Linked DNA regions of Arabidopsis thaliana. The protein of the gene in region 1 interacts with the protein of each later gene in a biochemical or structural test. Each region holds a gene or a part of one and is shown in the gene's direction. Other genes may lie near its edges. The genes, in order: AT5G45360, JAZ11 and JAZ6.

Region 1 (11,031 bases):
TCGCCATCACACCAAACAACAGCACCTACTTTGTTCATCAATCATCATCGATTATTCATTAATTATGCATACAGGTTATAGAAACAAAAATTTATATTGTATAGTTTATGTTTCGGAATTAACCTGTATGGTGGCTCCACTAGCGTACCAAAACGGTCCACTAACCCCATACTGCCATGCTACGTTTGAACTTTGCAGTATGGTCGCAGCCCATGTCCACTATTCACCCATCGACCAACATAAATCAAATTAATAACTTTAAGTAAAATTCTACAGTTAAATTATACGTCAAAGATTATGGAGTGTTTTATAACTTTATATCATCAATTATAATTATTAGAATTATAGTTTTACCTGTGATACAATGACACTTGCAATAAGTCCTGTCTTAACGTTTCTTCCCGCTGTATTGAACCATTCCGATGTATGACGAGCTCCCACATATCGTTTTTCTAACCATACCTTCATTCATTTAGGACAATATACATATTATTTATCATGGTGGACTTATTAGGACAATATACATATTATTTATAATATGATTTATAAAATTTACACACGGTCGCCACAATTTTCATACTTAATAGGCCAAAAAAGATTCTATCGAAACTTGATATATGAATTAATTTGATTAATATCTATTTTAATAAGAATGAAAATTTTAGAACAAAAAAACAAAAAAGAATAATCAACGTCTACTAAACAATGAAAATTAGCATCCTTTGTTTTATTTGTTAGCATAAACCATATGACTACTATTTTTTGTGGTCACGAGCAAATCATAGAAGTCGTCTTGCTTTTCATAAGAAAGTATTTGTAATTCAGAAACGGAAACTAACCAAAAAAGATGTGAAGACGGCAAAGAAAGCACCAAAACCAAGAATCACGGCGTAGCCAACGCCTTGATCGAGCACCGTCGTGCCTCCGAAGAAGCTGCTCTGCCTCTGGCATCCGCCGTCACCATCGTAATATTTGGTCGAGAAATCGAAAGGAGGACATGTAGCCATTCTTCCTCTTCTTCTTTACGTTTTGATTGGAAAAGTGAATTTTCTCATGGAATTTGTAGGGAGTGATAGTTGAAAGATTCTTCCCTCTTGTATATACTATTAGAAAGAATCTTCAACTTGAAAGAATCTTGATTTAGCAAACAAAGGAATCTAATAAACTTAGAAAAAGAAATTGAATCTCTTCTATGGTTAAATTACCATTCCCAAGAGTTGTCATGACGTATAAGATACTATCCACACAAATTAGAAATTGTTACCATTATTGATGATGAAATGGGAGAAAGTCAATAATTTCGTACTTCAATAAGTCAATGATTTTTGTTTATTTGCTATTAATGGTTTCCACTTGGACAATGATGTCATGAGTGATCTAAGTACTCGTAAGAAACTTATAAGTTATACCTTTCATTTTTTTACTAGGTCAGTACCTACTTGTTAATACTTTATGCACACACATAGTTTGGCAATAACTACTAAAACATCTATCTTGGTTACTCGAAATGCGTGGAATATGTTAGATATAGATAATATATATTGATTCTTGATTCTCATGAGCTCGTCTATGTGTGTATGTCGCAAAGACATACCACTCTGTTGGAATTATGGAATAGACACTATCTTCACAAATTCAAGATAATATGTTGCTAAAACTTTTGTTGTCTTCTTCCCAGCTTATATCACACTGACATGTAAGTATGTAACATGTCCGTTGACATATATAATGTTTTCCTTTTTGTTAATCGTGCTTGTCTTTAGGTACAATGACTTTTTAAGTGTTCTTGATTCCTTTTATCTAAGATTGAATTTAAAATATACGCTTCTTTGTCACCCAACTAAAAAACGTATTGAAACAACCAATTCTTAAAATAAAAATAGAGATTTGTTTCCATAGTTGAACTTGCATTACCAAAAAAGAGGCGAAGTAATTATTTTGAATTATTTACCGTTTAAAGAATCAATGTTTGAACTCGAAAAAATTGTATGATTTGTCAAGTTTTTGTCTGATATTAACTACGTACAACGGTACAAGTATCCTTTCTTTACCTTTTCTTATTTATTTACCAGTCTCATCTCTGTAAATGAAAGGTTCCGAGATTCTTACATCACTAGAAGAAGCAATCTCATTCCCAGCTGATGTTGTTTGTTGCTCTCTGTAAGATGCCCAAGTAACCATATAAAGCCCGCAAATGATGAGGATTCCACCCAAAACGCTGCGGAGAGAACAAAAACCAAGGTGTTTATATGATCCAATACAAGAAGACAGAAAGGTTTGTATGTGTCTGGATGAATCAAAGATACAAAGAAGAGTGCATAAAATTTAAAAACCTTCCAAGATAGATCGGGCTGCCGAGGAAAATTGTCGATAAAAAGGCCGATGTTGCAGGCTGAAGAGGATTGTATAGGGAAACCAAAGCAGCTCCAAGAATTTTATTGGACCAAGTCAAGAGTCCATAGTTTAGAGCTGAGGCAAACACTCCCTGAGGAATAAAAACCGAAAAGAAAACAATTAAACACAAACTAGTAAGATGAATCCGTATGTACAGAATCGAGTTCCAATCTTTTTGAGTTCAAGTTCAAATGATTTGAGCTCAAGCTCCAAAACACAAACACACCCAAATAAACATATTACATCTCGGTTGTGAAAACTTACTGCGAATATAACAGCAAGAACCTCAGATTGTGTTAAGCTCCAATCTTTAGGCTCTCTAACAAACAAGATAGCTGTTGTGATCATTATTGATGCACCGAAGAAGTATGAATACGCAGCAACCGAAAGGTAGGCAGGATACTTCTTCAAAACCGGTGCTTGGACAGCGAGAAAAGCAGCCATACACATACAGTTTCCAATCAAACATAAAACTCCAATGTGCCATTGATCAAACCCAAGACCAAGAAAACTAGAGACTAACCACCCATTAAGCTCTGGTTGACTTCTATCAATAATTACACTTTTCACTGAATCTGCTGCATCTTTACCTCCAAACAAGGCTGGACCACGAAACAAAGCCATCGCTATAGCACCCGAAACACAAACAAGAGTACCTCCAACTTTCGTTTGGCCCTCGACTTTCAACAAGTTCACTTTTTCTGTACTGTATACAAAGAAGAAGACCATCAAAAGATTGAAACTTTATATTACAAATTTTCACATTTTACAGTAATGTTGAGGAAACTCATACTCACCCCATCAAGACAGCCAAGAGAAATGTAAAGACAGGGATTGATGGTTGTATAGCAGCAGCATAAGTTGGATTCGTGTAAGATAAACCCATAAGAAATAGTAACTGGTTCCCAAATATCCTATCAAGATTGAGATTGAATGTTGTTATTAGAATCTTTCATTAGCATGATTCAAAAGATAAAGAGATACAAGCTGATTACTTTACCCTGCTAAACCAAGAAAGAAGAGTGAAAAGAAGATGCTTCTATTCATAGGAGGTCTGATCGTTCTACAAGAAATTAAAAGAGCAAATCTTTATCAAAAGACAAATCCAAGTCACACAAAATTGCAATCCATCATTAAACAATAGAACCAGAATTAACAAAGAAAAACAACCCTAATTCCAATTCCAGAGAGATCAAACTATTTGTCTGATTTTGCCGCATATAAACTCATCAAAACAATCAGAAACAGAGACTTCAGAGACTTTAGCAATTCAAGCAAAAGGATAAAGAAACAGAGAGATTTTGAGAAGAAGATAAAAAGGGACCTTTCACGGAAAAAAGCGAGAGGTGCGAGAATGGAGAGAGCAAGAAGATCGCGAAAGACACAAAAAACGAGCTGATTTACACCAACGTTAAGAGCTACTTTCGTAACCACATGGTATCCTCCATTTATGACCTGAACCAATGTCATTGCAGAGTGAGCCATTCGTGTTTCTCTCTCCGTCGCATCGCCGCCGTTTAGGATCGCCGGAGCTGCCATTTTTCTTCTCTACCTCCGAATCGAGGAAGAAGAGAAGGAACACCTGTTGACTAAAGAAATTGAGATCCTTTGATTTGCTCTGTAAATTGTAATTCTAACTTCTCTGTTTTTTCGTTCCAAAAAAAAAAAAAACTTCTCTGGTCATTGTAGTCGTTGGTCTTCTTCAATTTGTTAACTATGATTTTTTGTTAAGTTGAGGCAAAAAAAAATTTGCCAGATTATTTTCTTAAATCTTATACACATTGAAGCCTAACAGATTAACACATTTGTTAAATATGCTCATATATCCTACTTAAAAAATATGAAAATTTTCCACAAAAAATGGTGTAATATAAAAATTCGGTTTACTCGGGTTAAACGGTTCGGTTTGTTCGGTTTTCCGGGTTTTTCGGTTTTCAAAAATTCTGCCGAATTGAACCGAACAAAAATTCGGTTCGGTTCGGTTCGGTACTCGGTTTTTTCGGTTCGGTTACTAGGATTTATAATTCGCCGAAATTAAACCGAATTTTTTTTAATCGGTTAACCTAATCAGTTTAGATCACAATATTAGGCATAGTGGGCTGTTTTTAAAGCCCATATCGGCTTTTGACATTTAAAAACCCAAAACTTTTTTTTTGAGGGACAAGTAAAGTCAAAAAGCCCATGACGGTTTTTAACTTTTCAAAACCCAAATTCTTTTTTTCCAGGGACAAGAAAAGCCCATCACACCCATCTAGGGTTTTGTTTTGTTTTATTTTTTGGAAATGACGGCCGTCAAAGAAAAACAAGGGTGAGATGAAGAAGAAGAACATTGAAAACAGAGAAAATAGATTTGTATTGTGCGGTGGTGAGAAAAGATGTAGAGAACCATGAAATCATTGCCAGAGAAGATCGATGTCGCGGTGGCTTAATAGAATATTTCTGCGAACCTAAAAGGTGGAGAAGAAGAACGAAGACAAGGAGAAGAAGGAGGAATAAGGAAGAATTAGAAGGTTAAAAGATAAAAATGGGTTAGAGATGAGGAGAAATAAAGGTGTTCGTGAAGAGGAGAGTTTAGAAAACAAAGAAGATGAAGTGATAGATCTAGGATTTTTCTGTTTTAAAAGGTATCTCCCCAATCCGAACAAAACCGATCGGTTTTGATGAACCGAACCGAAAAACCCGAAAACCGAAATCAATTTAAAATTCTACCGAACGATTTACAACAGAAAATCGGTTTGAAACCGAAAACCGAAATCGTCGGTTTGTTCGGTTCGGTTTAAACGGGTTATGCCGAACTTCCAGGCCTAATTTTTACAGTGTAATACTGAAGTTGGTAAAATATGCCTTTATTTATGTCGATTAGTGGATCTAGTAATATAACATTTCCTTAAATGAAAAAACTCCTTAAAAAGTAGTTGCTGATCCAATAACAAATGTTCTGTTTTAAGAAAATTTAATTATAGTAGTAGTTCGAACGTCGTTAACTCGTAATAATAATTCAGAAAAATGTTGTTATTTAATCACGTTTAGAAAGCTAATTTGTATTAATGACGCTAACGACAAGGAGGAGGGTTAGTGTTATGGGCTTATTTATTAATATATGGCCCATTTAGGTTATTAGCCCATTTATCAAAATTATTCGGCCCGAGGTCGTCTCCAATCTCACGCCACCGATTCCAAACGCCAACCCTCTCGAGTCTTGTCTCTCTCCAATCCTTTCCTTGGCCGCATAAACGCAACCATCGTCGTCGGAGCTTTGATCTTCACCGACTGAAAAGTATGTCTGTTTCCGATGAGGAAGATGAGTGTTTCGCTCGATTCCTCGAATCAGAAGTCTCATCGGTATAAAAATTTCTCCGTTTATTCAAATTTTCGATTTCATTTAGGGTTTAGTAATTTCTTCTCCATCAATCTTTGAATTTTGTAGCTGAATCTGAAATTCTGTCGAGATTTTCCCGTTCCCCTAGTTTTTTTTTTCATTTTTGATAACTTCAGTTCCTTGATCTGTAAATTTGATCTTATATGCATACATTTGAAATTTTTGAAAAATCACATAATTTTTGTTCATGTTCTTCGATTGATGTCCATTGTGATTTTGCTCTTGTTCAGCGTTGTCCTGTGAAAGGTTAGATTATTTATTGATGCTTTGGTTTTTGTAGGTAGAGGATAAAGAAGAAACGAAAGAACCTGAGGCAAAACGGCAACGTATTGAGAAAGGCGAAACAAAGGCTCTAGAGAAGGATGAAGATCAAAAGGAAAATGGTAACAAAGATAAAACTGATGCAAAGAGAATAGAGAGTGGAGTTTTCACCAATGTTCCTACTGAGCTGTTTCGTCATATTCTCAAGTTCTTATCTTCGGAGGTATATACTATATAGTTCAAACTCGAACTTTATTGATGTTTGAGGATTGCTTTTAAACTAAATTGTTTGAATGTCATTACAGGATCTTGTATCATGCTCCTTGGTTTGTAAATTTCTCAATTTTGCTGCGGCTGATGAATCCTTATGGCGTCGCCTGTAAGCCTCTTCTTGTACCCCTTATTGTCGTTGATAATCTTGTTTTCAAAATCAATACTTTGTATTCAAAAACGATGTGATGATCTTATTGGTTGTTTTTTGTTTATATGCAGGTACTGTATCCGGTGGGGTCTAACTCTTCCAAGTAGAAAGTTACGTGAATCTGCTTGGAAGAAGCTTTATATTGATGTGAGTTTCTCCTTGGTTTTTCGTATAAACTTGTTAGATGTTTCCAAGTAGTATTACATTGCTGAAGAATATACAGTGTTAGTTTGCGTTGCTAGTAGAAGTCAGATCATATATATTTTTAAGTGATTCCTTTCTCTTGTCGAATTTTAGCGTGATGAACAGGACATGATTGAACTTGTCAGAACCTGTCCGTCGGATTTCAAGGAGTATTACGTACATATGCAAGCAGCAAAGAGAAGCCAAGCACCTCTTCCGTCCCAGGTAACTATTTATAATTATCTGTTTATGTTTTAGGACAAATCATCACGTGAAGAATTTTCTCATGTTCTTGTTTGCAATTTTTAGATGGTGGATGACCGGATAATTCTTGACAATACTGTACTTGAACAAGTTTCTCTATGGAAGAAAAGCAAAGGACTTACTGATAAGGCTGTCACTGGCCATATTTGTTTGGGAACCAAATGTTCATACCATCAGATTGACGACGTGTTCATATGCAAAGAGACGGGAAATGTTCATGGTATGTAATGAAATGCTGTAAAATGTAACTTTGTTACTGTGTTTTACTCTAAACTTACATAGTTTTTATGGTCTTTATAACAGTATGCGATGATAACTGCAAGGAAGTAATACTGAGTCCAGAGGGTGACCTCATGGTGTGTACTATCTCAGGAGTTTGTTCTGATACTTTACTTGTACAAACTGAGCCAGACGCAGATGGGTGTTATGAGGAAGAAGCTGAACTAGAAGCTGAAGTATTCACAGATAAAAGCCGATTAGGTACACATCTATCTATCTCTTTCTCATATCTCTCACACACTTCCTTTTCCAAATATTATTTTTATTTTCCAACATAAGTGAACTATTTGCGTCTTCTTTTCATCGCAGCCCGAGCTTTTGAACTTGGCTACAACTGCGATGATGAGCAGGAACTGGAACGTACCCTGAGGTTCTGCTGAGCAAAAGTCTCGACCTTTTGTCCAATTTCATAAGGCCTACTTTCTGTAAGGTCTTCTCTCTCTCTCTCTCTCTGACCTGATTCTGCCTGGGTTCTGTGGAGTTGAAATGAATCAAATGTAGCTCTTGTTTTAATCAGTCAGCTTTGTAACGTATACATATATATCATTGTATGTGATTAACATTGTCCTTAAAAAGTGTTACACCTAGTAATTACGTTCCAACTTTATCAGTAAACCTATTGGTAACTAGTAATTTGCTCCCGATATTGGTTTTCTCATTAATTTTTATAGCCATTCTTTGTTCATTTAAACCATATTACAAATTTGTCCTGGTTAGAACTGATTATGATGACAAATCGATGATTAGTTCAAAATGAAGTTTATAGCAATATATTCTAATAACTATACATCAATTATCACCACTGATGTGTTTGAATGAAAAATGAATTGATAATCTTAATAAATGTTTGATTTTATAGATAAGTATAAAGTATGAATGGATTTAGAAAATTTTAGTATTTAGTGAGATAAGCATAAGCAAAACTAGAAAAATGAAATTATTATTAAATAAATTCATTAATACACATTGGCAATGTGACATTGCCTAAAATCAAATATGTACTAATTCAATTAATGTTAATAAGAATTTTTTGGATTCGATTCTCTTGCGAAAGTGCAAATTAAAAGACATTCTTATCTCCTACGTAAACAGAATCACGCGTCCATTGCGCGTTCTCGCAACGCTAAAATATTTACGTTGGAAAATATTCTCATAATTCTCTCCTTTGCCCCCACAGTTTAATATATTTCATAAACACCCCCACGAGAAATTAAAAACCGTTCCAAATTTGAAAAAATACAACAAACAATTCATGAAAATATTCAATCTATAAGCAAAACATTGGTAGTGTTACATGTGTCGTCCTTCGTGCTGAAAATTTGGATAGCATTGTTAATTATGACAACGTAAGTGTAGCCTGTGATTCATAGTAAAATATAAGGACTAAAAATAAAAATATATCTTTTTTGGAAATCGTACCGCGTAAGAAACATGTATAAATACCTATAAGGTCTTATTTTTTTCTCTTCCAATTTCGTTTCGACATATTTCGCGATTCGTCTAAGGTAAAAAAAAACTCATCTTTTTTTCTTTTAGATCGTTAATTTTTGATCAGCGATTCGCTCTTCTGATCTGTGTTCTTTAAGCTTGTCTTCTCTCTTGATTCGATCTGCTGAAAACCTAGAAATTTTTGATTTTTTTGTTTGTTTTGCTCCATGTGTATGGGTATATTTACGATTTTAACAAAACAAAAATATGAATTGAGGTTTTTTATTTAGCGAATTGGGTTTTAATTGTTCACATTCGTTTGGCTCTCTCGAGGTGAGTGATAAAGTATAGAACTTTCTTATGCTTAGGATCTTAAATTCGAGTTCTTTGATTTACCTGTCATGTGTTATTGATTGATCTCATTTATATTGTGTCTGCTTGATGTTTAAAGCTTGGTGTATGCAATTTGATTGGGTTTACTGGAGATTGATCTGTGACCTAATCAATGAGTGATAACATTGCTGGTTCATCTGATTTCTCATCTGGTGTGTCTGCTCGATTCCCTGAAGAAAGTTTGAAACTCAGGCTTGGTTTGTGCAGTTTGATTGATTTATCTCATTACTTGACTCTGGTGTACTTGATTCTTTGATGAAAGCTTGAAGTTAATGTTTGGTTTGTGCAATATGATTGGGATTAACTGCATTTGATCTCTGACCAAAATCAGTGATTAATTACATTGCTTGGTTATCTCATTACTTGAGTTTGGTGTTCCTGCATGATCCCCTGAGCTTGAAGTTCATGCTTGGTTTGTCCAATTGTGACCTAAATTGATGTTTTCTTGTGGTATCTTTTCGTAGGTTTTGTTACTGATTGAGAAAACATGGGAGGTGACAATGATAATGACAAAGACAAAGGGTTTCATGGGTATCCTCCCGCTGGATACCCACCCCCTGGGGCTTATCCACCCGCTGGATACCCACAACAAGGTTACCCTCCACCACCCGGTGCTTACCCGCCTGCAGGTTATCCTCCGGGTGCCTACCCACCTGCTCCTGGTGGTTATCCTCCCGCCCCTGGTTATGGTGGTTATCCTCCAGCTCCTGGTTATGGAGGTTATCCTCCTGCACCTGGTCATGGTGGTTACCCTCCTGCTGGCTATCCTGCTCATCACTCAGGTACTGTGTTTCTTTTGCTAATGGTTTTTTTCTCCCATGTAGTTTGCCAGTTAAGTGTTGTAATGGTCACTGTACAAACAAGTTAAAATAGGAGAAGTTGTTTATATGTTGTTTTGTGATTGTCTGTATGTTCATTGCTAAAATCTGAGATTTAGTATCATATTTGGTGTTAAATGTCACTTTGGTTTCTTTATTCATGCTGTTATTTATACTTGTTTCAGGACACGCAGGAGGAATTGGGGGTATGATTGCAGGTGCTGCAGCTGCCTATGGAGCTCACCACGTAGCTCATAGCTCTCACGGTCCTTACGGACATGCTGCATATGGTCACGGTTTTGGCCATGGTCATGGCTATGGCTATGGTCATGGTCATGGTAAGTTCAAGCATGGGAAGCACGGGAAGTTCAAGCATGGGAAGCATGGAATGTTTGGAGGAGGCAAGTTCAAGAAGTGGAAGTGATCTAGTTAATACCTTTTGTGAATCTGTCTGGACTGACCAATGTTTCAAATAAGCCCTAAACATTATATAAGTTGACTTTCGTCGGTTAGATTGCTGGTTCGAGTTGGAATAATTGAAACTTAATTAGTATCAAATCTTATTGTGTACTTTAAAGCTATCGTTGGCTTTATAATGACAGATTCTGGTTTCGGTGTGTTGTTTTAAGATTTTTGTATATACTGTTTTTTACATTGCTTAAGCTTATAGAAGTCATGATTATGATTAATTGTTATCTTAAACAGACAAATCACTTAATTATTCTCTATACTATATACAAATATATACAATTAGAGCTAGATTAGGATGAGTTTACAACGGGTTGAATCAACTTACGTTGGTCCATCGCAACTTCTCTACTTACACTTGGCCAGAAGGAAAAAAAGAATAAACGAAGGAAAAAAGAGCTTTGATTTTGAGTGAGCTTTGGTGTTGTGGCATATGAAATGCTCTGTTTTTGTTATTAAAAATATATAAATGGCCAGACCTGAGTTGAGGGAAAGTTTTGGTGGATGATGAAACTCCATGATCCGAATTCGATCTTCTTGTAAACAAAAACACATTTTTTTAGGAAGTTTGTTAGTTGGGTTTTGTTCCAATTGGTTTACATAGTTAGAAATGCAGACGGCTTGACTAACCACTGCATTAGTTAAAAGGCGCTCCAAACTCGGATCATGCAATATGATGGCCCAATTGAGGATCTCACGGATCTCATGAATTTCATGGTCCGTTCAACCTGAGTCCGCTCGTA
Region 2 (11,282 bases), on another chromosome or scaffold:
AGTATTTCTCATTCTTGGCTTCGCATCCCACCTTTATGGCCTCTATTCTTGAGGCTCGGAGCAGAAACACATTTGTTGGCTCTAATATGTTTCTCTTAGAGGAGCACCTTAAGGAGATTAAAAAAGAGTGTAGAAGATTGAATAGAGCAGGGTTTGGTAATCTTCAGCAGCGCACTAGCGAAGCCTTGGCTGCCTTAGAAGATATTCAGTCTCAATTACTTTCTCTTCCCTTAGATTCTCTCTTTAGACGAGAGCATATGGCTAGAAAAAATGGGATTTCTTTGCTGTGGCCTTGGAGTCTTTTTATAGACAAAAGTCAAGAATCAGGTGGCTAAAAGAAGGGGATGCTAATACTCGGTTCTTCCGTAGAGCTTTCCTTGCTCATCAGGCTAGAAATCTTATCAAGCAGTTGCGTGGTGACAATGATATTTTGGTTGTTAACGTGGATCAAGTCAAAGATATGATTGTGGCGTATTACTCTCACCTTCTCGGCTCTGAAAATGACTCAACTATTCCTTTATCTATTAAAGTTATAAAGGTCTTACATCCTTTCCGGTGTGATGAGTCTCTGGCTACTCTGTTGTCTGCTATTCCTACTGATGAAGAGATTATAGGGTCACTGTTCTCAATGCCTAAGAACAAGGCGCTCAATCCAGATGGTTTTCCTGTGGATTTTTTTTGGGATTCGTGGGCTGTGGTGAACGATACTGTTATTTTTGCTGTGAGGGAATTCTTTCTTACATCTATTGAAGAAGTTCAATGCAACTGCCATTACTCTTATTCTTAAGGAATGTGGGACAGACAAATTATCTAAGTTCAGACCGGTTTCTTGTTGGAATACAATTTACAAAATTTACTAGAATCATTTCCAAGCGCCTCAAGCTGTTCAGAACTCAAGCAGTTCAAGGGAATCAAGTGGGTTTTATAAAAGGAAGGATGCTTTGTGAAAATGTGTTGTTAGCTTCTGAACTAGTTGAAGGGTTACATATTGAAGGTGAAGTAACTAAGGGCTGCTTACAAATTGATCTTACCAAGGCTTATGACAATGTCAGCAGGGAGTTTCTAATCAACATCCTTGTGGCTTTGGATCTTCCTCCTATTTTTATAAACTTGATCCGGGTTTGCATATCTACTCCTTATATAGTATTGCTTTTAATGGTGAGTTGATTGGGTTTTTTCAGGGTAAAAAAGAAATCAGACAAGGAGATCCCATGTCTTCTCATATATTTGTGCATATCATGAATATTCTAGCAAATTCACTGGATAAGGGCGCAGTTGAAGGCCGTTTCATGCTTCACCCTTAGTGTTCAGCCCCTCTCATTACTCATCTCAGCTTTGCCGATGATGTGTTAGTCTTCTTTGACGGTTCTAAGGATTCTGTTGCTGGGATCATATCCATTCTTGATGAGTTCAGAATTGGTTCTCGTCTTGGAATAAACAGGCAAAAAACGGCTTGGATGGTGGTGACTTGCATAATGTGGCCACTATCTCTGAGCGTTTTGGTGTTTCTCAGGGTGTTCTTCCGGTTCGTTATCTGGGGATTCCCCTAATGATCTAGAAGATGAAAAAACAAGATTATCAACCTCTTCTTGACAGAATTAATAAAAAGTTCTCCTCTTGGACTGTCAGACATCTCTCCTTTGCTGGTCGGCTTCGGTTGCTGAAATCTGTGATCTTTGCTACCATCAACTTCTTGGTGTCAGTTTTCCTCCTTCCAAACCAATGTCTCCAAAAGATTGAGCAGATGTGTAATGCCTTTCTTTGGAAAGGTCTGCCTACCTACGCTAGAGGTGCAAAGATCACTTGGAACGTAGTATGTACGCCTAAGCAAAGTGATGGCTTTGGGTTGAAAAGGTTGATCTCTTGGAATACGGTTTTCGTTTTGAAACTTATCTGGTTGTTTTTCACTAAGGCTAGTTCTCTTTGGGTTTCTTGGATGAGGATTAATCTTATTGGTAACCGGAATTTTTGGGATCTGAATCCTTACTACTCAGGGAGTTGGATTTGAAAACGTTTGTGCAAACTTTGTAACCTGGCGAGACCTTTTTTGGTGTGTGAGGTGGGTTAAGGAATTACAACAAGTTTTTGGCATGATAACTGGATGGGGTTGTGGCCGCTGATTGATCTCTCGGGTCCATTAGGACCTCAAGTTATCGGGTTGAACAAAAAAGCGGTTGTTAGAGACGCAACATCTTGCAATGGATGGAAGATCATGACTTCTCGAAGTCGTAATCCCATCATTTCGACGATCAAAAACGCCCTGCCATATTGGATTGATATCATTGATTGTGAAGTGGATGATGTCTATCTTTGGAAGCTCGAGCATCATCCACCCACACCATTGTTCTCCTCTACTCTAACTTGGCTCGCTTTGCACCCATCTACCTGTCCGGTTCTGTGGCATAAATCTATATGGTTTAAGGACTATATTCCAAATCATGCGTTCATCAATTGGGTTGTGGCTTGGAACAGGGCTTCACACTAGGGACCGAATGCGGAGTTGGGGAATTTCTATTCCCACGGATTGTGTCCTTTGCTCTGGAAGTTCGGAGTCTAGAGATCACCTCTTCTTTGAGTGTGACTTTAGTCTGGCGGTCTGGAGTCACTTCAGGAATAGAACAAGATTATCTCCTCCGGTCCCCTTCATGGCCTGCCTCTTATGGATTAATTCGGCTTCGTGTGATGCTTATCTCTGTCTCATCATCAAGCTAGTGTTCCAAGCCTCTATTTATCTCTTATGGAAAGAACGCAATCGTCAGATCCATTCTCATGCTCCCCGTACCTCTGCTTTGATCATCGAGGAACTTAAGGTTATTCTATGGTCAAAGCTTGATCCCATTTCTCGGCGTAGTGAATTTGATTCTCCAGGATCCTCTCTGCTCTCTACTTGGTTTCGTTTCTTCAGCTAAGGGCAGTTCCTTCGTTCTCTGTTCTTCTTTTTGGGCTGTTTGGGTCTTGTTGGGCCATTCAAGTTTAGTTTCGGGCCTGCGTGACTTGGATTTGGGCTTCTTGCCGTGTATATTTTTCGGGCTTGCGTGCCTTTTTTTGGACTCTTTGTTTTGTAACTTGCTTTTATCTTTAATGGAAATTTAAACCTAAAAAAAAAGAAAAGATTGGGTGGGCAAATGCATGTTACCTACTGATGTTACCGAGTATCTCAAGTACTAACAACAGCTCTATGTTTCTCAAAAGGAAAGTCTCAAAGCGACGACGTATTATTTTCACGCACGTTTTAAATTCTTGATGCCTTTTTTTGTTTTATTCTTTTTTCTTAAGTTACACATTTAAACAAACAAAAAAGAACAAAATGAGAAAGAAATAGATTGTTTTCGAGCTTTCTCTCTCTTCTCTCTCTAAAAAATCTTAGAGAAAAGGGAAAGTTTTCTCTTTTGTTTCGCTGGCCTGATGGCATTCCGACGTTTATGTGTTTTAATATAGTTGGGTTTTATATCTAACATCTCTGTCGTTTTTAGCAGTGATGGCTGGCTCTTGCCTGACAGCGTTCGAATTCCATGACCATCGTTGGCCGGATCTACTTTTCTTATCAGTGTATCTGATGTTTTTTTTTTTTTTTTTCTTTCAATAATCTCATAGATCCTCTATTGGAAATTTAGGTGTTTTTTTGCTTAAAGGTGTTTATTATCCAATTTGATCTTTTGAGTTTGCGATTTGCAGGAATCAATCCAAAGAGTTACATCTTAAGTTGCAGAAAAGAAAACAATTTCATTGCACACTAATATTGCTTTTAGCTGTAAATCTCTATTTTGATGTTCGATTGGTTTATGAACAATGAAACCTAGAAGAATCAAGCTTGCTTTTATAATCAATGATGATTTTTCTCACTGGAATCGATCTCAGATGGCGAATGATCTACAATTGAGGCTATTTGTCTAATTGATCTATGGACACGAGTGTTTTCCTTTTTGTTTTTAGGTGTTGCTGAAAAGCTCCATCGGCTTAATATCTACGTTGATGTTCTTTGGAGTTCGGGAGTCATTGCCCTTGTGAAGATCTTTTCTTTACAGATTTGATGATGTAGTTGGTAGGATTCTCTAGTTAAAAACCTGTGGACTTATTTCTTGAAGCTCTGACGGTTTTCGGTAGTTTTGGAGTTCCCTTACGCTTCGTACCATATCGGCTATGAGCGGCGAACGGCGACAACATCTACTTCAACTTTACTTCATAGGCTCACACATGGTTTTGTGTTGGATTTGTTATATTTCTTAGTTCCTTAAAGGGGTATCTTTATGGATTGGACTTTTTAAGTTGGGTCTCCGCTTATAAGCTGAATTGTTGGTGAAGTGGAAGCTTCCACTGTTGTACCTTTTACGACATAGAGTTTTAAATAGAAGAGAAAATTCCCAAAAAAAACTTCAACTATTAAAATTTGCCAAAAAAACCTCAACTTTTTCGGTTGTCAAAAAACTCAAACTAATTTATTAGTGACAAATAAAACCCAAACTAGAAATATTGGCAGATTATACATACGCTCTAAAAACAAATTATAGTTTTATCCTTAAAAAATTAATTCTTTTTTTTTTGAAACGAAAAGAAATTTCTTATTTACTTTGTATTTTTTTAGTTTATACGTTTTTGCCTTTTTGGAAATTATCATAGAAAAATGATATGAGTGTCTCATTTTTAATTCTCTTTTCATATATTTTTACTTTTTAGATTTTCAAACTTTAAAAACCAAATCGTTTCTCTATTTCTTTTTTTTTTGCTTATTTCTTTCTAATTTTTGGTTCCTCAATATCAAAATGATTCAATGTTCTTCGACTAATTTACATATTTTGATTTTTTCATCATAATTATATAGTTAGCTTTGTGTTAATATATCTTATTTAATTTATTTTAGCAATACGATAACGGCGGTATGCATGTACTAAAAAGGATGCGTAAAGAGTATTAAGTTTTTCACATCGAACAAAATTGTCCACTATTTTATTTTTTTAAATAGTTGTCTATATTACAAGAACAAATGAAAATAAATAGGTATTATTAGATAAGTAGTTTTTTTTTTTGGTAAGGCATTATTACTTATTAGATAAGTAGTTAGATATATAAAATAATCAAATAGTTGAGGTTTTTTTGGAATATTTCTGAGAAAAACAAAAAGAAAACAAAATTGATTGAATAATGAATACACCGAATAACGAACGTTGCGTAGAGAAGAGAACCAATTCCCAATCAAACGGAGAAGACAGATATTATTCACAGAGAGGCTCATGGCTGAGGTAAACGGAGATTTCCCCGTTCCTAGTTTCGCCGACGGGACCGGTTCTGTTTCCGCCGGACTTGACTTGCTCGTTGAGAGATCGATTCACGAAGCTAGGTATGTATCACTAGTAACTGGAATCAATTTGAATCGTTAATTCTCATTTCTCTTTATCTGTCTTTGTGTTTGAAGTTTTTTCTTAGCCTATAGTTCTGTGATTTGTTAGTTCTTAGTACACTATAGGAGCGTGAGCAATTGACGAGACTTGGATCTATATGAATTGTTAAATTAGCAGATCAATTTGGGAAACTCAAGAGGTTTAATTTCAAACTCTTGTTTCAAGGTCCACAGAGCCAGATGCTTCAACTCAACTTACTATTATCTTTGGTGGGAGTTGTAGAGTCTTCAATGGTGTCCCTGCACAAAAGGTTTGGTCCATCTAGCTTTGAGTACATACATTCTGATTTTGTTTATGTTGGTTGCATCAGAGTTTCTAATTGTATTGGTGATCAATGCTTAATAGGTTCAAGAAATCATTCGCATCGCTTTTGCTGGTAAACAGACGAAGAATGTGACCGGTATCAATCCAGCACTGAACAGAGCTCTTTCTTTCTCAACTGTAGCTGGTAAGCAATTGCTTCATTCGGTTACTGTAAGCATTATCTACGGAGTTACGGACTATTAATCCCTGTTTGTCTCAGATCTTCCAATTGCTAGGAGACGTTCGCTTCAAAGATTTCTCGAGAAGAGACGGGACAGGTAGTTAGATATTCAGTGTTTGCTTTATTAACATATTGATAGTTCTGGAAGTGTTAGTGTGTATGAATCTGATTTGTTAGTATGTATTAGTTTGTGACGTCAAATATTGTTCTTGCATTTAGGAATTTTCATGTGTAGGTAGGTTGTTGAAGCTTAAGCAAATGAAGAGACTGGATCTATGTGAATGTTAATTTGTATACATTGACTGGTTTCGGAAACTGAGATAGTCTTTTAGTTTTTTTTCTTACAAGTGTTTAAGCTTTTATTCTCATGTATTATTCTACTTCTATATCATATTTGGCTGACTTATGGCCACCAGATAATTGTGTATTTCTTAGTGATCATGCCTCACAAATACATTAGATGTTGTTGCCCATTCTTTAGTATCGGTTTTATGAGCTTGAATTTGAACTAGGCTTGTGTGTTTGATTTTGGTACCGTTGAATGCAAAAATAGCCTTCTATCTACTGTTAGATGACATCATCAGATGATTTAAATTTAGTAGGTTGTTTGAACTGATGTATTGATGGGACTGAGGTTAGTTGATAGCCTAAGCGGCTGTAATATTGTAGTGGAATCACTATTTTGTTCTTCTCCCTTTTGCATCAATAGGGTCTTAAAATTTGGGTGGATTATTATTATCTTCCATCATTCATAACTAGCTCTTGTTTCTTCTATTGAAGGTCCACGAAGCCAGATGGTTCAATGATCCTTCCAAGTCAACTAACCATTATTTTTGGTGGGAGTTTTAGCGTATTTGATGGTATTCCAGCTGAAAAGGTTTGGTCCATCCAAGTTTTGAGTACATTCGTATTTCGTTTTTGTTGGGAAGCAGTTGCATGAGATTTCTTGTTCTCTTGGTGATCACACTTAATAGGTTCAAGAAATTCTGCATATCGCTGCTGCAGCTAAAGCCACTGAGACAATTAATTTGACCAGTATAAATCCAGCATTAAAGAGAGCTATTTCATTCTCAAACGCATCAACAGTAGCTTGCGTATCGACAGCAGGTAAGGACTTGCTACATTGGATTACCGTAAACGTTATATAGTCCGAGTATGGAAAACCCCATGAGCTTTATGTAAGATGCATGTTTATCTCAGATGTGCCAATTGCTAGGAGACGTTCACTTCAAAGATTTTTTGAGAAAAGACGGCATCGGTAGGCATATCTGCAGTGCTTGTTTTATAAACATATACTCTCATCTTTCTCCATCACTCACCTATGAGTTTGACCATTAGATTTCATCTAATAGTAACTTGGACCCTCTTTATTTTCAGATTTGTCCACACGAAGCCTTACTCTGCTACGACTTCGGAAGCAGACAAAAATGAAACCAGCCCCATTGTGACATGAGCTCCAAGACTGTAAGCTAACCTCAAACCTTACTTTCGAAGCAACTCAGTATCACAGTTATCTTTGACAAGATTAACACAGCTCATATATAAGCCTTCCGTTGTTGTACGATAATCATCTGCCTATGTTTCTTAGACAAAACACAAAATTGTTTTCCATGTTTGTGATTTGATGTGTTTATCATCTCGCACCTCCTCTTTGAGGAAGATGATTTCTTTTTCTTCACAATGTATGTTGATGCTGTATGATAAGGTCTCAGAGCTATATAAGAACACAAGAGTACTCAAAAATGACCATGAAAGACTTAGTGTCCTTATAAGCAAATCACGACCAAGAAACATACAGAGAAATCATCAAATACTAACCGGAGAGATTAGTAGGGACCTCAGATCAAAATTTTCAGGTCTGGTTAGGCATGTGATTATTACCAGAACCAAAATTTTCAAACCAAGCCAATCCAGTTTTTGGTCATTTCAATTTAGGGTCGGTCACTAAAAGTGAACAGGTCGGCATAATTTTTTAGTACATATATTTAACATGTGCCCAAGTTATGACAAACGATGAAACATAACATATTTATTATAAATGATTTATACATCATAACTCATAAAAACATCAAAATTATGAAATATTTTGGTAGCGCTACCATAACCACTCAATCATCCGACTGAAATCATCAAAATAAAAAAATATTTTCTAACTTTTTTTATATTTACATAAATATATCTACAAAATGATCCCGTATAAACTTGTAATAAATTATATATGTGCATTTTTCAAGACCAAATCTCTAAGATCAAAGACTAATGCTACCACATCATTCAACGAAACAATGCAAATAAATTTTGGGATAACTTTAACTTTGATCATCTTTTAAAGTATTTAAGGATTTTACATACAAATTTGTAATTTAAAGGGTTCACAAACGGCAACAAAAAACAAAAAAAGGTTTACTAACGAATTTGTAATTTTAAGAAGATCAAAATATAAGAAATATAAATAATATCATAAATTTTAAAGGGTTATAATGCAAATGTTGAACTTTAGGAAACCAGCTGACCTCCTTTAATCGTCTTTGGATGTCTATGCGGCGGACCCATAAATACTTTTTATGGGTCCATCAAATATAATTTAAAAATAATAAGTAATTAAAAACAACCAAAAACTAAAAAAAAAAAAACTCATCTCTTTAAGTTTACATATGAATTTGTAATTTTAAAAAGGAAAAAACAAAATAATTTTAAAGGTCTACAATACAAATATAGAATTTTAGAGGGGTCGTCTGACCCCTTTTAATCTTTTTGGGTCTGTCGCGTGGGCAGACCCATAAATACTTTATATCAGATCAAAATATAACTTAAAATAATTAGTAATTTAAAAAAAAAAACTAACAAGTTTTAAAAAATATTATTAGTTTAAAATATACCGCAAATTAGGTTCAATATTTATGGGTGAATCACATTAAAAGGCTAAAAGTATCAAAACACAAAGTAGAAGAAAATATATAATAAAACTTAAAAGGTTTACATCAAATTTGTAATTTTAAAAGGGTCAAAACATATGAAATATAAATAATATCATAAATTTTAAAGGGCTATAACACAAATGTAGATTTTTAGTTGGGTCAGCTGGCCTTCTTTAATCTTTGCTCTTTGGATCTGCCTATGCGGCGGACCCATAAATACTTTTTACTAGGTCAAAATATAATTTAAATAATTAATAGTTTAAAAAGATTAAAAAACTAAAAAAAATATTCATTTGCTTATTATATACCATAGAGAATGATTCCCAATTTTTTTTTTGTCGGCAATGATTCCCAATTTTAAATACAGAGAATGATATAATCATAATTTATTTATTTAAATATTCATACATTGACAATAACTGAGTACATCCATGATTCTTTATTTTTGAATCATAATGTCCTTTCTTCGATTATTATTCGCTTACAAACAACACTCTTATAAAATATTTTCATAGAGGAATTAAGCACGATCATTGCTCGGAAAGTTTTGTATACTAGTTTCATCACTACCGATATATAGATAATTCAAGATAAATAACATTCATATTTAGGGGTGTCAAAGTGGGTCAAGATTTATGGATCAACTCAACTCAACGCAACTTTTGAACCCTAATGAGTTGAAATTTTTGACTCAAATGAGTTGATGGGTCAAATGAGTTATTGGGTCAATTGGTTTGATGAATAAAATGAGTTGGGTTGTAATGATTAATGGTTTCAATGGTTTACCCAATTAACCCATTAACCCATAACTCATTTAACCCTAAACTCATTTGATTATGAGTTGAGTTGAGTTGGGTAACCCATTTTGACACCCCATATAACCAAAAGAATAAAAAAAAAAGATAAGTTGGAGAGTAGACAGTTTTTGCTAAAATAATTTGAAAAGTAGACATTTTTTTTTAGAGATAGGAGGCATATGTAGTTTTATCTCTCCTCTCTAATAGAACTCCCTCTCAAATACAACTTTTAGTAAAGTACTATTTTACCCTTCTGTTGTTTTGATGAAATAAAATGGACCTCATTAAAAGCAGCCCAATATCATCTTCAATTTCGAATTGTTCATGGGCTTGACATCAACTAAACCCCATATTTTCTTAAGTCATTAGAACCAAACACACTCATAAACCCTCGTCGTCGACATCTTCATCTGTACGGTAAAGACCTCGTCGTTGTCAAAAAAGGATAAACCCTCGTCGTTGCCAAAATCATAGAGACATTGTCAATTTCATACCAGATGGAAGGTATGTTTATCATAAAACGCTTTAAAGTTTTTGAATTTTTGCTGTCAGCCAACTAATAACTTTGACTCTGTTTTCGTTTTTTTTCAGGGGACGAATCATGCGTCTCCATGGTCGGCCGCTGGATTTGCTACTCGAATGGTTGGTGGGACTTCAAAATTGATAAAACTAGGCCAGGAAAGGGGAAAATGCTTAATTATTTCCTAAAATATCCAAAATGCGCAGATTAATTCCCCAATTACCTCAGACGCATAATAAACTCCCAATTATACTTTGACGTAGCAAAGTTAGACTTCATTATTGTCAACGTTAAATATTAAACATGTCGTTAAATATGTCGATTCTCATCTTCTTCTTCTCCAAATCAAAAACCCTAAATTCCTAAAGCTTTATCTTTAAACTCGAAACAATCAACTGTAAATCTACTTTCCAAACTTATCTTCCCTAAATCAAACATCAAAACCTAATCCGATTGGCAAAACGAAAGTTTTAATTTTGCAAACTGAACCATGACAGGAAGAAGACGAAAGCTTCCAATACGAAGGTATGCACAAAACGATAGGTGGAATCAAAATTGTTTCTAATATTAAATCCATTGATGTTTCTTTTACTTGTGGTTTCTGATTTTATTGTAGTTCAATACCCGTTCCTTATTTTGCTTTTATCAATTAGTTTACGGTGTTCATGTTATTAGTTTCTATGGTTGTTCGGCTATGATGTAGATATTTTTATTTTTATAGGACACTAAATGAAGAAACAGTTGAATCTGATGGTGAACGAAGGGTGCATGAAGAAGAGATAGAATCTGATGCTAATGTAGGTGTGGAGGAAGATTTTTGTGAAGTGATTGTCGAAGATATGGGTGGATATAAAGAGACAGAACCTGATTTGGCTGAGTTTGAGGTAGCGGATAATCACTATGTTGATGTAGAGATCTGTGAAAACTTAGAAGACCATTTTGGAGACATTGCATGTGGAGATGAAAATGGTGATTCTAATGATAATGGGGATGATATTCGGGATGATGAAAATATTCCAGATCCATTATCAGATTCTGATATAGAGGAGAGCAGACCATTCACTTATGGATTAGGTCCTAAAGAACTTTTAGGATTAGGGAAGACATTCAATAATGCAGATGAATTCAAGTATGCACTTCTCAGGTATTCTCTAAAAACGAAATATG
Region 3 (11,065 bases), on another chromosome or scaffold:
CTGATTCAATGTGCATTAGATTTCTAATTAATGCCACTAATTATAATATTGTATCCTACCTATTAATATTAGATTAAAATTGTCATATTAACACAATAATACAATATATTCGTACTCGTATAATTTTTTTGTTCATAGAATATAAGTGATGATTAATAATCAAAATGCAGTGATGGGTCTTTTGTTGTCTGCTAACTTAATTCTGGCCATAATTTAATTAATTCTATGATAGAAAATAATAATAATAATAATAATTTCACGATTCGTTAATCTACAGCTGTGTTTAGCTGTCATACAATTCAATTTATCATTTTTCTTCTTCATCACGTACGACGTATACACAAACACGTGATATAGGCATATTATTGGTTCGTAATTCGTAACTTTCATTGATAATATAATCGATAATGGTGTGTGTTTAATACCAAAATTTACAAGTTGTAATAAAAACAGCAAATCGCTAATGATGTGTGTTTGATTAATACCAAAGTTTACTAGTGGTAATGAAAACAGCAAAACAGACTGATAACTAATCTATGCACAAAACGTTACAACACACATTTTTTGTTTACAAGTAGCCTTAAGTTGACACATTAATCATATACAAATTTAAACAGAAAAACAAGAAGTGGCAAAGTGAAAAAAAAACAAAAAAAAAATCCAAAATTGGTGAATCTGCATGAATCTAACGGTTGGAATTGATCGACGGTGAAGCTAAGTTTCTATGGTGATAAAGTCGTCGTTAGAATCTTCAATAGTCAGTTCATCAACGACTTCAGTCATATTCGGTCTCTGATCTGGATCTTCTCTGGTACATCTCACACCGATCCTTAAAACGTTCTCAATTTCCTCCTCCATAATTTTATCTTCAGCGGCGGCGGTTACCACCATCGGATGAAGCAGATCCATCCAACCACCTTGTTCCAATGCGGAGCCTAACCACTCAACCAAATTTGCCCCACCGGCTCTGTTCAAACCAGCGTATTGAGACGGGAATTTTCCGGTCAAGATCTCAAGTACCACGACTCCGAAACTAAATACATCAGATTTCGCAGAGACGGTTCCATCACGATCCGCTTCTGGAGATTTAAACGCGACGAGAGATTGAGATTGAGCGTCGGGATTGATTAGTTTTTGAAGTCCAAATTCGGAGATGAGTGGCTCGCCGTCTTCCGCAAGAAATATATTGCTTGATTTTAGGTTTCCATGTGGTAGGTTTAGAAACCCTAATTCTCTATGGAGATACCACATTCCCCTAGCGATTCCTTGAATGATTTTGAGTCGAGAAGGCCAATCTAATTGAAATTCTTCGTGGTCTCCGTGTAATCGGTGAAGCAAATTCAAATTAGGAACAAATTCGAACACTAGCAATTTCTCGTCTTGTCGGAAATGGTAAGCTAGGGGCGTTAATACGTTCTTGTGTTGCAAGCTTCCTAGTTTCCTAATCTCCTTGTCGAATACGTCAACACTCACTTGATTCATTACCGTCACACGTTTCACCACTACCGTGACACCGTTTGAAAGAACCGCTTTGTAGGCAGATCCCACGCCTCCGCTACTTCTTGGACGGTTGCTTCCACCGCCGGGATTACCAAGCACGTGAGCCGCCGCTTTCATCAAGTCTGATAAACGGAAAACACCTTTTTCCTTGTTCACCATAACTAGGTCTGATGTCCCCGCCACTCCTTTATTCAATTCGCCGGACCGACTGCTCCTACTCTGCCTTGAGCTATTTGATCCCTCAACAGTTACCTGTCTCAATCATATCAAAATTTTGTGTGATTTTATAGGTTTAAAAACTCTCATTTGAAAATGTGAAAATTACGTGTAGTGGAAGTAACCTGAATTTGTTGGTCGTCACTATTGTCTTGTTCAGAGGTACGACGTGCCTTCTTCCTCCGTCTCTTCTTTTTCTTTTTTCTGAAAGCTAAGGAGACAAGGACGACGATAAGAAGCACTCCTAATGTGCTGAATGCTAGAAAGTATTTGCTCTTATTTGCATCTTTCATTGTTCCTTCTATCGTTATGGATGCAGTCGAATTTTTTGGTTGTGGGCATGGAGTGGATAGCTTGGCACCGCAAAGGCCAGAATTCCCCGCAAAAGTCTTCGCGTCGAATTTCAACAAACCGGGAGGTATTTCTCCGGTTAGTTGGTTGTTTGATAGATCAACAATAGCTAAAGTCGTTTGTGTGAAATTAGGTATACTCCCGATGAATTGATTATTTTCGAGGCGTAACTCAATGAGATTTGGCAATGTAGTTGCCAATGAGATAGGAATGAGACCAGAGAAATGGTTGTTTGACAGCCAAGCTTTCTTTAGCGACACCATTGTTTCGAAATAATCAGAAGGAATGTTACCAGAGAATCGATTTCCTGATATGTAAAGCGACTTCAGAGCGGTTAATCTGTTAAACTCGGGTATGTCACCAGAGAAAGAGTTGTTCATTATGCTTATGGTGCGTAAAGATGGTAGGTCTTTTAACGGAGCGACATCAACTTTTCCTGATAGACCCATTTGTTCGATCTGGAGGCCAAAGACAGAGTTTTTGTTGCAGAGTAATCCGATCCATCGTTGGCTTGCTCCACAAGGTTCTGACTCTGGTGTCCAAGAATCAAGAGACTTGGTGTTGTTTAAGGACTTCTTGAATTTCAATAAAGATTCTGATTCGGTTATCGAATTCGCAGAAAGTGCTGTTAGAGATAGCACGATTGGCCAGATTAGCCAAGCCACGGCCATTTACTTAACCGGAGCTAGGCCGCCGGGAGTTTCAAGCAACTCTTTTTTTTTTTTGATTAATCAAAGTAGTTTTTTTTTTTTTTTTGGTGATTCGATTTACTAATTTTTCTGTATTCCTTGTCTTGTTTCTCGCTTTGTCTCTGTTTTCTCTGTCTTTTGTTTTTCTTTGTCATTTGTGATCCATTGGATGAGAGGAACTTAGGAGCTTATGGCGCGAATGTTCGTTGAAAGAGTCAAGAAGATTGAGAAAAGCAAGAGCGAATAAAAAATAAGCTAAAGATATGCATTTTTGGTTGGCCCATATGAATAATGTTGATTTTAGTTTCCAAGCCCAAACTTGGACAAAGTTGATTATCGTTTCTATAAATAATTTTTAAACCGTAGAAGTGACTTAATTACAAGTATAAGTGTTGTAAGAACAACTATCAAGTAAAAGTGTTGTAAAACCAACTATCAAAACTATATTTTTTACGTGTTACGTGTGAAAACTATTAAGTGATACTCCAAATTTTGCCATACTACAAGATAACGCATGTAAATAAATTTTATGGGAAAAACAAATGGTTTTGGCATTAGGACCAAGAGCATATAATCTTAAAACTCGTACAACATTTGGTTCAGTTCTAGCTAACGTGACCTTTTAAGTGGACCACTTCATCATTTGGATTTTCCTCCTGATGCTTAGTTATGTCGGATTTCTAATTTACTCACTATAGCATGACAAAAAATGTATCCCTATGCCGAAAAAAGAAAGAAATTTGATAAATGTAAAACAAATTGACGCCACCAAATGTAATCATCAATCAGTTTTAGCTTTTACAGTTCCTAACTATTTCCAAATATGAGAATATCGAAAGAATAGTTATAAGTTTCTTATGTATCATGAGTAAAATACTCTAATACTCAATTACTCATGATATTATATGCAACTAAACAAAATATTTGTCTAATCTATTAATTTTCTGTAGACCATGACATGTATTCTAATGATTTGACTTAGTGTCCTTGTTGTATTTCTATCCGGTTTCAATTATGCAATTGTTGAAAAAATGTTATTCCTGTTCCGCATGTAATGGATACTTATTAATATGCGATAATCTTTAGGCACATATGTTATTGTCATAGTACAAGAGGAGCATGTGAAGAAGCTGCAACATTTTGGTGTTCACATCCAAAGTATCTGTCGGTGTCAAAGAACCAATTTGTTTTAGTCATTGTTGTAAAACGGACCTACATTCGTAGTCGTTACCCCTAAATTTTAAACAAATTTTATGTTTAGTATTGTCATACGTCAATGCAAATGAGTTGTATAATCTTTCAATATTGTCTTCTAATTTTATTTTATTTTCTGATAAGTACCATTTTATTTATGAAGATAACGACTGTACAGAGAATTCCCACCACAAGCTCAAGCTGCAAGACCAAACTTACCCGAAGACAACCTGTTACAGAGACACGCTAGCTCGTAACACTAGATAGAAAGGAAATCTTACCCAGCTCAAAGATTAAGTCTGAAGCACACCTAACCCAAAACTGTTGACACCATCTTGATTATGTCCATATATGAACTTAGGTCTCAAAACAACAACTATTTATTTGATAAATGTTGATATACTCTATTGCTTAAAGGAGAGTCCAACTTCGAGTGGTGACCGGAAGGTTTCGCCGTTGCCTTTTCTTTTTTGCCGTTAACGTTGGTTTGGTAGTCTTAGTAGAATCTTCTCACAATCTTGATTTTTGCATATCAAATCTGTTAGAATATGACATTCCCTTATTTTGGACATGATCAAATATGTGATCGAAACCCAACTTGCGCTTCCAACAATGTAGATAATCTTCATGTGAAATAGCGAATATTATTTGGTCTTTTGTATGTATTAGAAAATGACAATGGATCTATATTGTGTAATTAAATACACACATACATGTGTATATATTAGACTCAAGTTGTTGTTCAACTCTTGAAATCATATGATATTGAAGAGTCTTCAAAGTTCAAAGTATTATGTTCTCATTTTGCAAGTTGCGATAAATAATTCAATAAAAATGATTTTTTCCCTTGGCGCGATCGTCTACGACATTTTGTTTTAAATTCTTTTTTGGTACTCTTTGGCATTGCCTCTTATTCAAATAAAATTCAACGCTCGACTTCATTGAACAAAACGATTAAAAGATTTTATTATTATTATTGTTATAGAAATAATATTTAACTGAGCAAGTAACAAAATTCATATTAGGACTAAACAGAAATCGTTAACCTTTTACCAACATACAAAACCACAAATTCTAATATTAATTACACTCAGTTTTTGTAATTAAAAACAGAAAAGAAAATTAGGCCTATGAAGTATGAACGCTATAATATCCTTTAGCAAAGAGGGAAAAAAAACGCAAATCATGCATGAAATAAGGTTGGTACCGCCAAGATTCCGACACGTGTTGACATCCTAAACGCACATAACAATACTTCACGTGTCCTTAAACTTTGTCGGGGATAAGTAATTGACACCATTCATCGATAAATATCCACTCACAAGTCGTACTGTTGCTAATGGATCCCACATATTAAATTCGTATTAGCCATCGCAGCCGACGCGAGACTTAACTCCGTCAGAACTCCGTTAGACTATAGCGTTTGCAAATGCCCTCATTTACGCCCTTTAATAACGAATATCCTAACCACCACTAAACGAATTACCTCAGAAGGGTAAATTAGTATTTAACAGAAACTCTTGGGACCCGAATGAATTAAATGGGTTAACGCCTTTATGTAATGTCGCCGTCAACTTACAACAGTTTCTTCACGGCTTGTGCAATGAAAACGTGCCGGAACTTGTAACGAACATTGTAGTTTGATTTTTGTAATCAACCATAGGAATAAATCATTTTTTCCGCATATAATTTATTTCCCTATTTCTATTCGTGACAAAACATTTGAGGATATAGGAAATTAATAGCCTATAATATGTTTGACCATAAAAAGAATTTCTTCTTCTTGAACCATCATAAGAAAAATGTGTGTTTAGTCTATTGATCAGTTTTGTGTTCAAAAAAAAAAAAAAAATGTCTATCGATCAGTTAGGTGTAAAAAAAAAAGTTACAAAACTCGTGACAAAAACATTCTATATTGGACACACATCACTGTCACTTCAGACTAAATAAAAAAAAAGAACACGTTATTTCGTTTTCTTTATTTATTCGGGAGAGGTTAAAAGCCACAGAAACTTATTGGCTAGAATTGGTTATTTATAACAACAACACATGAGCAAAAAGCTCAAAACATCTACATACTCTTTGGAATCCTCGATTTTTTGTACGTGTAAAGAAGTCACACAAGAAAATCTTGGGTTGTTGTAATCTTCATCACACTAGTATGTCAACGGGACAAGCGCCGGAGAAGTCCAATTTTTCTCAGAGATGTAGTCTGCTCAGCCGGTACTTGAAGGAGAAGGGAAGTTTTGGGAATATTAATATGGGGTTGGCTCGAAAATCCGATCTTGAACTCGCCGGAAAATTCGATCTCAAAGGTATTTATTTATTTTTCCCTATCTATTCCGACGGCCGCCGCCTATAAAGACCAAAGTTTATATCATATACTTTTAGTATCCTGCTTCGTTGATTATTAGCATAAAGTTTAACTATATATTTTTTTTGTTGAAATGCAAAATTTTAAATCATTTTTTTCTTTTCTTTTCTTTAAACTTAAGCATGGTATTATTTTGGACAGCTTAAGTATATTAAAGTTAGAGATTCTGTGAAGTTTTTTAAAAAACGTAATAAACATGTAATTTGATTTTGATAAATTTTAATCGGTTTGCAATTTCTGTTCTAATTTGTTTTAGGACAACAAAATGTGATTAAGAAGGTAGAGACCTCAGAAACTAGACCGTTCAAGTTGATTCAGAAGTTTTCTATTGGTGAGGCCTCTACTTCTACCGAAGACAAAGCCATATATATTGATCTCAGGTACTGTACACACAAACTTCATATGTATTCGAACTCCTAAAGTGTTTGTTTTCACATTTTGTAGCAATTGAATTAGAGAAAGAACTACCGGTTATAGATGTATGGACTATGGAGTTTGACTAATTGTAAAAATGGGTTTGATTTGATTTTAGTGAACCGGCAAAAGTAGCACCGGAGTCTGGAAATTCACAGTTGACCATATTCTTTGGAGGAAAAGTTATGGTTTTCAACGAGTTTCCTGAAGACAAAGCTAAGGAGATAATGGAAGTAGCTAAAGAAGCGAATCATGTTGCTGTTGATTCTAAGAACAGTCAGAGTCACATGAATCTTGACAAAAGCAACGTGGTGATTCCCGATCTTAACGAGCCAACGAGTTCCGGGAACAATGAAGATCAAGAAACTGGGCAGCAACATCAGGTTGTGGAACGCATTGCAAGAAGAGCTTCTCTTCATCGATTCTTTGCTAAACGAAAAGACAGGTAAACTAAACTCCGAAACTGTTTTGTGCTTGGTTATGCTTTTTCTAGGCCGCTCGTCAAAATGTATGCATAGATTAGGATCAAAGTTTCTTAAAAAAGTTATATGTAAAAATAGCTAATAATTACCATATTAAGACTTATTCGAGTTATTCTAGGAATCCCACATCGGATTAGAAGCGTATTACCAATCAAGTTTAAGTTGAACATTCATGAAATTGAACATAGGGTGGTCCTAGTATGTTTATGAATTATGATTCCTAGAGTAAGATTTCGAGATGTGACTCAAGTGTCATCATTTATAAAGAACATGTAAAAAATCTTACAAGTTACAATGAAATTCGAGATGGGACCTAGAGTAGTATATAAGAGATATGAGTCCATCATCTATGTGTCCTTGATCTAGGAAAATTATTAGTAAAATGTCGAGAAATTTCTAGTTAAAAAACACTAACTAAGAGTTCTTTGTAAATCAAAACTTCAATATCTACTTTGTCTTAAATGTTGATTAATTGTTTTGATTTCAGGGCTGTGGCTAGAGCTCCATATCAAGTGAACCAACACGGTAGTCATCTTCCTCCCAAGCCAGAGATGGTTGCTCCATCGATAAAGTCAGGCCAATCGTCGCAACACATTGCAACTCCTCCAAAACCAAAGGCCCATAACCATATGCCGATGGAGGTGGACAAGAAAGAAGGACAATCTTCCAAAAACCTTGAACTCAAGCTTTAGGGCGTATAAAATGCACGATCGAGTTCACGTTTCTAGTTTTCACTTATTTAGGATTTGAACCCAAATACCCTTTTATATTTTCTTCCATTACTTTTGACCAATTTAAGTTATTTATAGTACTGTATTACGTAGCTAGTATTTATATTTCAAAACATACATATTTTGATACTTGTTTTTTAGATTCTTTAATTAAAATTGTCATCTGGATTACCCTTTATCGAAATTTTTTAATCACCTGATATAATCTCACCAGTGATGGATTTGCGTTGTTAGTAATTTTTCTAAGTGGCAAAAGTATATTAACCTATAATAGGTTTCAAAGATATACATATAATGTTTCTATCAAAGATATTAGTATAATATTTTACCACATGATCGAAATCTCACCAGTTATGGATTTGCATTGAATGTTCTAGCGATTGGGCTGGACCGTCTCAGGAACCCAACCTTAATGAAAAAACATCGTCTCATTGATTTTAGGTCGTTAAGTCTGTTTTGCCCTTGTCTTATCCCGTAATTACGAAATTAGCCTTCTACCATTTCCTCTGTCTGCTTCTCTCTTGCCGTTTTCTAAAACCCTAAAAATTTCTGTTGAACCCCAAACATTGAAGTTTATCTTTCTTTTTCATTGTTCGATCTCAAAGCACAGAGATTGCTTAAACCTAACTGTCTCAGTTCTTTTAAAAACAGTCATCTCTCACAAAACTCTCTTAACCCTCTTCATATGCTTTGAGAAAAAATGTCAAAGATAAAGCCTTTGAGTAAATCATCGCAGGACTTGAGTCTTCTCACATCTGATATCGCATCATTCGCTTCTTCTATTGGCTTAGCTTCTGCTCTTCCTTCTTCGGGTTTCAACGACACTGATTTCCGAAAACCAGCTAAATCCAAAACCCAGAAACGGAAAAAGCCTAAGAAGGATCAGCAACACAAGGATGAAGATGAAGAAGGAGAGCCAAAATCGAACATTGGGAATGAAAAGGGAAAAGATTTTGGAGCGAGGAAGCAAAACAAAGATGCACCGGTGAAGCAAACGTTACAACCGAAGCCAAAGCCTGGATTCTTATCGATTGATGATGAGAGTACTGGGTACAAGAAAAAACGTTTCGATGAATTCAAGAGTTTGCCTAAGTTACCATTGGTGAAAGCGAGTTTATTGAGCTCTGAATGGTACAACGATGCAGCTGAGTTTGAGGAGAAGGTGTTTGGTGGCCGGAAAGTGGCGGTGGCGAATAAGGAGGATTTTAAGGGTGTGGTGGAGAAGAAGAGAGAATTAGGAGAGAGATTGATGTGGCAATACGCAGAGGACTTTGCAACTTCGAAAGGAAAAGGTGGAGATATGAAGATGGTGATTTCTGCTCAAAAGTCTGGGACAGTTGCTGATAAAATCACTGCCTTTGAGATTATGGTTGGAGAGAATCCCATTGCAAATATGAGATCTCTTGATGCCTTATTGGGTATGTTTCTGGTTTTGTTTTTCAATGGTGAAATCCTCTGTAGCATTTTGTTGATGTCTTGTTCACATTATCTACTCTGTTCATTGCAGGAATGGTGACCTCAAAGGTTGGAAAAAGATTTGCATTTAAGGGTCTTAAGGCTCTATCAGAAATTTTGATCAGGCACATTTTTCTTACTCACACAATGAGCTATGGATTTATGTGTCAGTCTTGCATCTTTTTCTCATTGACTGAGGTTTTTTAAATTCTTTCTTCAGGTTATTACCTGATCGCAAGCTGAAGTCACTTTTACAGCGACCTTTAAACATCATTCCGGAAAATAAGGATGGTTACTCGCTTTTGCTGTTTTGGTACTGGGAGGATTGCTTGAAACAGAGGTAAAGATCTCAAATCATGCCATGAGGGATGTGTTTAATCACACTATGTCAAAGATCTGTGTCTTCTATCCGTAATTGTTCTGGGTCGATGATTCGTTTAACAGCTTAGCATGCTGACTTTGTAGGTATGAGCGCTTCGTCACAGCCCTTGATGAATCATCTAAAGATATGCTTCCAGAGCTGAAGGACAAGGCTTTAAAGGTATATATCCTATCACCACTCTGCTCGTGCTAGCTTGTTTAGTAGCACTGGTCTCCAGGTTTTGTAAGATTCTTGATGAGCTTTAATATTAGAGATTTGAGTATCATCAATGTAATCCTTCTCTGGATGATGCATAACGGCATGGTCCGTAGTTTTCTTTTAGCTACAGTGAGTTTTTTTGCTTGGTAACGTGATTCGGATCTTTCCTTCAGTAAATTTTTTCTTGTTTGGTTTCAGACAATATATTTCATGTTGACAAGCAAATCAGAACAAGAGCGGAAATTGCTAGTGTCATTGGTGAACAAGGTATTGTTTGTTGTTCATTCAAATATTTGTATCTAATTTAAATTTCTCAGTTGTGATCCCTTTAATTGTTCCATGGATTACTTTATATTATAGTTGGGGGATCCTCAAAACAAGAGTGCATCTAATGCTGATTATCATCTGACAAATCTTTTGGCTGATCATCCTAACATGAAGGTACGGCTATTCAACCTTCCTATGCCAGTTTCAGTATTTCGTTTATTAATTGGTTGTTTGGATTCTTCTCTTTGGCTCATGTAATGTTATTTTTTTTCAGGCTGTGGTTATAGATGAAGTTGACTCCTTTCTCTTCCGACCCCATCTTGGGTTACGAGCAAAGTATCATGCTGTATGTCCATTGTTCTCTCTAATTATGTTCACGAGAACCATTTTTCTTTATTTTCTTGCTCTTCTTTTTAAACTGATTCACGCTTATTGTCGTCTAAAGTATTGTCTTTGATTTGAATGGGAAACAATTTTACTAAGACTTTAGAAAAGAAAAGAAGCATAAACTTATCCATGTTTAGCTTTCTAAACAATGCTCATTAATCTTTGTAAATTTCACAGGTTAACTTTTTGAGTCAGATCCGATTGAGCCACAAAGGAGAGGATCCAAAGGTGGCAAAACGTCTAATTGATGTATATTTTGCCCTGTTTAAGGTAACTGGCATTGAAGTCAATAAATTTAACATTTCCTTATGATCTTCTTAAAATTTAGTCCCTCCACTTCCACCTTACTTTCATGATCTCAGAGACTTCTGCTACCCCTTAGTGTTTTCTTTTGGGGTGGCGTTTGTCATAAGTCATAACATGAA

Evidence for each region.
Region 2: the proteins of AT5G45360 (region 1) and JAZ11 form a complex in vitro, tested with the Arabidopsis thaliana proteins (one study listed by BioGRID).
Region 3: the proteins of AT5G45360 (region 1) and JAZ6 form a complex in vitro, tested with the Arabidopsis thaliana proteins (one study listed by BioGRID).

Annotation. Positions count from the first base shown.
Region 1 is NC_003076.8:18,381,313-18,392,343, reverse strand, and holds AT5G45360 (F-box family protein), read left to right. Parts: upstream 1-5,472; 5' UTR 5,473-5,673; coding exon 5,674-5,736; intron 5,737-6,053; coding exon 6,054-6,257; intron 6,258-6,339; coding exon 6,340-6,413; intron 6,414-6,526; coding exon 6,527-6,602; intron 6,603-6,752; coding exon 6,753-6,863; intron 6,864-6,947; coding exon 6,948-7,122; intron 7,123-7,205; coding exon 7,206-7,382; intron 7,383-7,490; coding exon 7,491-7,561; 3' UTR 7,562-7,855; downstream 7,856-11,031. Other genes in the region: DUR3 (urea-proton symporter DEGRADATION OF UREA 3 (DUR3)), read right to left, coding at 1-25, 124-219, 355-462, 840-1,007; UMAMIT1 (nodulin MtN21 /EamA-like transporter family protein), read right to left, coding at 2,062-2,218, 2,334-2,485, 2,659-3,100, 3,192-3,308, 3,395-3,457, 3,719-3,933; AT5G45350 (proline-rich family protein), read left to right, coding at 9,490-9,784, 10,006-10,244.
Region 2 is NC_003074.8:15,362,442-15,373,723, forward strand, and holds JAZ11 (jasmonate-zim-domain protein 11), read left to right. Parts: upstream 1-5,104; 5' UTR 5,105-5,228; coding exon 5,229-5,335; intron 5,336-5,561; coding exon 5,562-5,646; intron 5,647-5,741; coding exon 5,742-5,844; intron 5,845-5,919; coding exon 5,920-5,977; intron 5,978-6,660; coding exon 6,661-6,757; intron 6,758-6,854; coding exon 6,855-6,987; intron 6,988-7,080; coding exon 7,081-7,138; intron 7,139-7,257; coding exon 7,258-7,333; 3' UTR 7,334-7,716; downstream 7,717-11,282. UniProt on the Arabidopsis thaliana protein: Repressor of jasmonate (JA) responses. Targets MYC2, MYC3 and MYC4 that are JA-dependent transcription activators.
Region 3 is NC_003070.9:27,271,183-27,282,247, reverse strand, and holds JAZ6 (jasmonate-zim-domain protein 6), read left to right. Parts: upstream 1-5,685; 5' UTR 5,686-6,111; coding exon 6,112-6,265; intron 6,266-6,580; coding exon 6,581-6,704; intron 6,705-6,856; coding exon 6,857-7,183; coding exon of another isoform or gene 7,184-7,187; exon of another isoform or gene 7,188-7,707; coding exon 7,708-7,912; 3' UTR 7,913-8,280; downstream 8,281-11,065. Other genes in the region: AT1G72460 (Leucine-rich repeat protein kinase family protein), read right to left, coding at 715-1,752, 1,842-2,738; EDA25 (CCAAT-binding factor), read left to right, coding at 8,652-9,369, 9,459-9,531, 9,627-9,746, 9,872-9,947, 10,185-10,253, 10,347-10,427, 10,528-10,599, 10,818-10,910. UniProt on the Arabidopsis thaliana protein: Repressor of jasmonate responses.